2 linked regions of the Drosophila melanogaster genome follow. Changing the gene in region 1 together with any one later gene gives a genetic interaction. Each region holds a gene or a part of one and is shown in the gene's direction. Other genes may lie near its edges. The genes, in order: Atf-2 and Mekk1.

Region 1 (3,745 bases):
GTTAATCTGGTCAAGTCTTAAATACCAATGTATCACTATGAGGACTGCTATACCTTTATATTACATATTTTTCAAATAAAATTCAAGTTCTTATGGAACTTATTCAAACATTTGTTCTCAAGCTTTACTTTAGCCTGATCGCAAGCTATTCCAAGTTTGGAAAAAAATTTTGTGCACTCAGCCACTTGATCCTAACCACAGAGACCGACGGACAGTAAGAAAAATGGCGAGGTTGCAGTGCGATGATGGAAAGGATGTGGCGGTGGGGCAGGAAAAGGAGCTGATGGGTATGGATACTTTGAATGCGGGCAAGAGAGAGATGTTCATCGGAACGCATGTTCTTTGAAAATTGCCCATAATTATGCGAACGAACTTCAAACTGATTGTTTCTACCGGCAGCAGCGCAGTCCGAGAAACGAGAATCCAGAGCCGAGGATCGGAACCCATCTCCATCCCATAGCTCCATGGACCATGGACCACGCTGTCCGAAAAACGCGCGTCCGTTGCATGCAACGTGGCAGGGATGGGATGGAATGGGATGGGATGGGATCGAGATCGGGACATGGCCAAGGGTATGGCTGTGTGGAATAGCCCGCTTGGCTGCAGTGAAAGAGAATGACTGTAATTACGCATCACTTTTTCTTAATTTTCATGCTGTGCATCTTGCGGCCCTTCCTCCTCGCAAACGGAGCGGATTGGAGTGGTGGTGAACAACGAGGACGAGGGCCGGAAGGGGTCCTCCATCTTCTCGCTGGGAACAATTTAAGCACTGAACTTGACCCACAAGTCGAGTCTGCTGCTTTTTGTGCGGCAGAGTTTTAGAAAATTGCTCGTTTCGTTGCGTGCATATTTCCCAAAATGCGAGCGGCTTGAAATCATTTTGCGTGTTGTTTTGTCCGCTGTCTGTTTTCTGCTTGTTCCTCCAATGAGAAATCTAATTTAAAAGATACAAATTTTAAATTATGGGGTTTTCTTGGCTACCAAAAATGTTTCGATGTTTTTTCTTCGCTTTACCTTCCTCTTCTTCACATATGATTGCTTCTACGTGCCGAAGACTCGCATTTTGGCATTTTGGATGCGATGGCAGATACGCAATTTCGTTGCGGAAATGCCGAATGTCAAGAGTGGTTGCATAACAGCTTCAAACACAGAAAGGCTAGGAATAATAAGGGTCTCATGACAGAGGGGTATTTTTTACACACAGTATTTATTGGTAACCAGATTCAAATTGAAAACATTCGCGCGCCTTTTTTGCACCCACTCGCGGTATCGATATATCGGTTTGCACACATCACTACTGTGCTAAGGTAAACAACATATAAAATATACATTATATCGAGGTTTGAAAATTCCTTTACTTATTTTGTTACACAATGAAGATTATTCAGTATTTATTTGATTTATTTTAAGTTCTACGTTATGATCTTTGTTCTACCAGTAATAAAATACATTTTACATCGTAATTACGGCAGAAGAACTTAGTACCTTTTCCAGCACTGCAGCCAGAGTTGGTTTCTTAATGGAGTCCGATAGGTTCAATAACACATCCATACATCGATAACAATTTTATTTTTTGTTTTGCTAATGTGATTTACAAAATAGTTGTTTTAATTGAGAATTGTCGGCAGATTATGGAGTTTGATTTGTAAATAGCATGATTTTGATGTAACTTCTGACATGGACACCGCCGGAGACATGGATCACCTGGCCAGTGTGTCCTTCGGCGACTTTGAGACAAAATCCCCAGAGGGCGACGTATCCTGCTATCAGAACTTTCGGGCACAGACGGAACATGTTTCGCTAGACATTTCTCTCGGGCAGAAGTCAGACACTCTATTTGCCGCCGACCAAACGCCCACGCCTACGCGACTCATCAAGAACTGCGACGAGGTGGGTCTCTTCGAGGACCTGCAGCACGTAAATCCATTTGACATTGGATTCCAGCAAGCAGCGGAGCGAAATGTCAGCGGCACTCCGAGTCGCCCAGAGGCTCGACCCAATGACGGTGAGTCCCTGCACACGCCCCAGGTGTATCCCGTCGAGGCCCCCACCGTGGTATCAGTTCCGTCTGAAAATCAGGTCCCACAAAGTGTCAGCTGCGGCGATATGGATGTGGACCAGCTTCTGGCCACGACAGTTACCTCGCCTTCCAAAGCCAGTCAAGATGGTCCGCCGCCGCTGCAGTTGATCCAGCCCCAGGTCCTAACATGGGTGCTGCCTGCGCAGTCAGTTCCCATTTCCATCGCTACAGTTGATTGTAACAGAAACAGGGTGAAGCCGACTGGTGCCATTCATCCCTTCATACTGCCGAAACCCACTGCGAAAGAATTAAACAAGACCAGTAAAAGACCCGAGCCTATTTTGGTCAGTTGCAACCCACCTAATAACGAGCCCAGTAGCGCCAGTCTGACGCCCACCTCACAGCTGCCCATCAAGGAGCGATTGAAGGCCATTATCCACAGCAATAATAACAGACGAAGTTTCTCCACACCGCCCAAGGCTGCGAAAGCAAAGGATCGCAGTCGGGACGAGGATTGTATGGAGCGACGAAGAGCAGCAGCCTCTCGTTACCGTAACAAGATGCGAAACGAGCATAAGGACCTCATCAAACAGAACGCCCAGCTGCAGCAGGAGAATCAAGAACTGCACGAAAGAATTTCCAGATTAGAAAAGGAACTGCAGCAGCACAGGAGTCACAGCAGCTTAGCTGGCGGTAAGCTTTAATAAACCATTCCTGAAGTTAAGTTAATTTATTTTCGTTTATAGTGGTGGCCGACCAGCTGCGGATTCCACCATCCAGTATACACTTGCTCATCAATGTGCCCAACGTGTTAGTGCCTTCGTCCGCCAGCAACGCAAGCGCGGCCAAGAAATAACCAATATGCCTTGTTTATTTATTTTCTAGTGCCATGTACATAATCCTAGCCTTGTAGTTTATTCGTACAAAAAAGCCTCAGTTAAGTTAAATTCCTTCTGTACTCCAATGTTTTGTCTGTGGTTATGATTTCCGTAAACTCTCTCTGTATCTCAAAAATGGAATTCTCGATATCCACCAGCTGGGGACTAAATTGCACAGATGATGTTGCTGGAGTTCGCAGCTGTTCCATGGTCATCTGTTCGGAAGAAAGTAGACTTAGGAGATCACAGAATACAATCTAAAATCTTTTATCACATACATCACGCAAGTTTTTCTGCAGCTGATCACGCTGATAGCAAAGTTTCTGGATTTTGTCGTAATACTTCTGTGCCAGTGGAGCACCCTCCGTATCCGAGTAGTAGCGCTGGGCAAGGAGCTCCATCTCCTGGTTACGAATTTCATCTTCGGCCAGCTGCATTTCTTGGTTGTGACGCCGACGCTCACGCTCAATACTGTGCATCAGCAGGTCCATGTCCTTCTCCATCTCCAGAATTTTGCGTCGCTGCTCAGACTCCTGTAACTTAGTGATGACCTCGCTCTTGCGCCGACGCACCTCCATTTGGTAGGTGAGCAGCATTTTCCGTTGGCAGGTGATGCGCTCTTCCTCGCGATGGATTGTGTCCTGGTAAACTCTCTCCATTTCTTTGAGGCGGCGAGCGTGCTCCTCTTGCTTAAGTCCTGTTTCAAGGCGTTCCATAATTTTAACCTCCTCCAACTCAAGATGGCGAATTCGGGCATCGATTTCCTGGTTGTGCTTGATCAACGATACTGCTTGATACTCCTGCTCATCGATCCACTCGCTGGGATATTTGAGAAACTTTGGATACA
Region 2 (3,924 bases), on another chromosome or scaffold:
AGTCTGCCCTGAGGCTCAACGTGCTGTTGGACTTTACACGCGGCACGCGGGGAACCCTCAACTCCAAGACCATGTTGCTACCCCTGGTCCGCGACTTTGCGAGCCAGGTGCAGCTATCCCTGTACCATACGCCTGATCTGCGCGGGATGACAAAGCGACTAGCACCGCCACGGTGGAATGAGCTTCTCGGACTACAGCACATGAAGGTCTACCTGTTCGACGATGCCGTGATCATATCAGGCGCCAATCTGTCCAATGACTACTTCACCAACCGGCAGGATCGATACATACTCATTGAGGACAAACCGTTGGCGGATTTCTATGCGCAGTTCATCGAACGCGTTCAAGAGTTTAGTTTGGCAGTGGCGCCAGATGCCAGCGAGGGACTGCACCGCAACTGGCGAATACTGCCGTACGAGGGCACCAAGGAGCAGTTTATCCAGCTTGCCCGTAAACGTATTTCCGATTTAGTGCAGGAGACGTTTCAGCGGCAGGCGCGAACTAAAGAGCAGAATCCGCAGGCAGACACATGGATTTTTCCGCTGCTTGAGATGGGCCAGATCGGCATTCATCACGACAGCGTGGTGACCAAGCGGCTGCTCTCCAACTGCTTGTCTGGATCACGGCTGAAACTGGCCACCGGGTACTTCAACCTGACGCAGGAGTACATGGACACGCTCACGCACAAGTGCCTGGCCCAATGCAGCATACTGATGGCTCATCCAAATGTGAGTGGCTATCAGTAATTAGTTGACCAATAGTAACCCGATTTAATTCATTTTCCAGGCAAACGGCTTTCAGGGTGCCAAAGGACCAGCGGGCGGAATTCCGGCTGCCTACACACTGATAGCCAAGAGTTTCTACGAGAGCCTGGTCCGCCGGAAGCAAAACCACCGCGTTAACTTCTTCGAGTACGAAAAGCCCGGCTGGACGTACCATGCTAAAGGACTGTGGTACTACCTGCCAGAGGCAATACTGCCAAACCTCACGCTGATCGGCTCTTCGAACTTTGGCGAGCGATCGGTGAACCGCGATCTGGAGACACAGGTGTGCCTTGTGACGGCTAATAAGGATCTAAGCCAGCGGCTGCAGGCGGAAGCTGACCGGCTGTACGATCTGTCACAGACGGCGGAGCGGGAAATCGTCCAACGACCCGTTCCGCGATGGGTCCAGGCCGTCGTTCGCATATTCAGGAATTTCTTCTAGGCTCTTCGATATAGTAGTTTAATTTTTTTCGTTCTTTGTTAAGCCCCATATCCCAGGTAGTTAATTTAGTTTTATAATTCGTGTTTAATCTTTGCCCTGGGCAAGTGTTTCTATTGCTGGTAATTGTTGATTTTGTACACACGCTAAAGTTTGTTAAATAATAAAGAGAATCGAGGGCATGCAGAAGGAAAAATACCACGCTGTGTTCTAATCACCAGGGGGATCATCATTTTAGAATCAAGTGCATATGTTATAAATATTTGTACTATCTATATGTACTTTCATTTAGTTTTAATAATTTTTGGTGCTGATAATAATCATGCGTTCAAAATTAAATATCCCGCCCATCTGTGAATAGTGATGGACGCCTAACGATGGTTTACCGCTTTGGAGAGGCAGAAATAATCGGATAGACCAATGTTTTTAGCTATTTTCAAGAATGTATTTCGAACTTTGTTGAAAAAAGTTGCAATTTGTTTAATTATTATTTTCAGATGTCCTCAATGTGTTTACCAATTTTGTTAAAAGAAATTTAAGAGCAAAGTCTAAGCAAAAATTTAACTCTTCGAAATACTCTGCTAAGTTTAAGCTTTTAACCAATTGTTGAACGAAAAGTCCCAGTTTGATTATCGCTTCTTTGCCACCTCTAAAGCTCTCTCTTTTTTCACTCTTCAAAAACGCCGGGCGACTTGAGTGGCTCGAAGACTTTAGTTAGCTGCTTTTTTTGGCCCGGTAAGACGTACGACAAAGTGCTTACCTGCGTGCCAAGTTCGGGAGCGCGTTAAACGTTATGTGTTTGCTCGCCGTGAAAGTTAAATTAAAATAAATCTGATTATCGCCAAAGGCAAAACAAAAAGAAAAATAAAAACGCGGCGCGTGCTTACTAAAGTGCAAGTGTGTGTTGGTGCTGGATTGCGATAGTGTTTGTGCACTGGCGGCTGGCTGAGCATGTGTGCGTGTGAGCAGCAAATTCCAAGAATATAACAAAAGCAGAAAAAACAGAGTTTTGCAAAAATGTCAAACAGGCGAAGAGTGCGAACAATTGATTATCTGGCGCTGCAGCAGAGTTTGCGTTTGCAAAAGACACCGGCAGCAACAACAAATGCAGAGGAGCAGGTGGCAAGGGAGGAGGAGAATGGCAATGGGCATCATAGTACCGTTACAGCTGAAACGCCACCCACACCACCCATCCCGCCCATTCCGCCCATACGATTACGACGCGAGCAGAGCGTCGAGGAGGATGTTGCAAGGTGAGCAGAGCACACCAGCGGTTTTCGAATTGCTGGGCTTTTCCCAACACAAACAGAAACAAGAAAGTCTGCATTGGCACGTAACTAACAAGCGCTCTCTTTCCCATTTCCTCTCCCCCTCTTTTAACATATCTCTGTCGCGGCTCTGCTCTCAAAGCCATATTTGCGGGGTTTCCCTCTCATTCGCTCTCGCATTTCTTCTCTCTCGCTGTGCATTTCACCAGTTTTAATTGTTTAAACGTAAACAACGTGTTTTTTGACCACGTTATCTTGTTGTTGGCCTGGGTGGCTCAACGAACCCCAGAATTTAGCGAACTGCAAGACAGGCACAAAAAATGAACAGCAACAAATTGCGAATTCTGCCTGAAATTAAACACTTTGTGTGCAGCGCAATTAAAATTCTGCACAGGTGCACTGCAAAAATTGGATCACATTTGTGTAACGCATACTCGTCGAACACGTAATATATTTAGAAATTTTTGTGGAAATTTTAGTAGATTGAGATTGAAACCAAATCTTGAAGTCTAAACGCTCCTTTATGTAACAGTAACGATTGTTTTCAGTGATCAACAAGTTTTCTCACTTACAAGAGAGCACCCTTCATAAATATTTTAAACTGATTTTAATGTGTTCAAATAAAAAAGCAATAATTGCTAGGTATTACATTACAAAAACTAAGTTTCTTTATAATGCATGTTATATTCGCTCTGCGTCGTTTTTCGTAGTATTTCGGCATTTATCATAGTCATATTTTTGTGTGGGGCCGCCTCAAGTCTTCCAAGATATTTGCTGATAACGCTGACGGTGGACTGATAACACATACACACGCTCACCTTGAGAGAATTACGGATACGTTTTCCGCTGTTTTTTTTTTTTGTGTCTTATGCGCAGGGGCTTATTCATAATACACTTCATTTTTTTGATTTGATTTTTATGGGATAGGTGAGTGTTCATCGTTTTGCGGGAAAACATGATTGTCGTATGTTAGCAGGAAATTTGCGACAAACATCCATTTTCTTTTGGCACCTGTTTCTATGGCAACTAAGTGAAATTAGCCGAGATTTATGTGTCTGCTGCTCGCTCTTTTTTTCGTTGGTCTCTATATTTTAATACCTGTTAATTGATAAGTTGATTGGTTCGCTGGAAAAATGGCAACGTATAGATATAATATTACATATGTTTTTTTTTTTATTAAAGCATCGTATATGCTAAGATACAAGCAGTGATTCTTTAGGAAAGGTTACGAAAAAGTTTTTGACTTTAAAGGTTTAAACAGCATTTATAGGGTAATCGGTAGTTCGGACATCTGTAAGCATTGTTCTCATTTGATGCCGCCAATCTTGTTCTTCTTCAGCTGGTATACCTGTTTTAGGGGGGAGGGAAGAAGAAGAAGAGACGGAGGGGAGACTATTGGAAGTTAAAACGCGTTTAATACGTGCGTTTGCCCACTCTGCTTTGTAACCTCTTT

The links.
Region 2: of Atf-2 (region 1) and Mekk1, changing one suppresses a phenotype caused by changing the other (phenotypic suppression), as found in Drosophila melanogaster (one study listed by BioGRID).

Annotation. Positions count from the first base shown.
Region 1 is NT_033778.4:24,868,533-24,872,277, forward strand, and holds Atf-2 (activating transcription factor-2), read left to right. Parts: upstream 1-1,575; 5' UTR 1,576-1,677; coding exon 1,678-2,713; intron 2,714-2,766; coding exon 2,767-2,876; 3' UTR 2,877-2,957; downstream 2,958-3,745. Other genes in the region: CG16896 (uncharacterized protein), read right to left, coding at 2,958-3,113, 3,177-3,745.
Region 2 is NT_033777.3:18,741,533-18,745,456, reverse strand, and holds the start of Mekk1 (Mekk1), read left to right. Parts: upstream 1-1,862; 5' UTR 1,863-2,220; coding exon 2,221-2,456; intron 2,457-3,924. Other genes in the region: PGS1 (phosphatidylglycerophosphate synthase 1), read left to right, coding at 1-728, 787-1,206.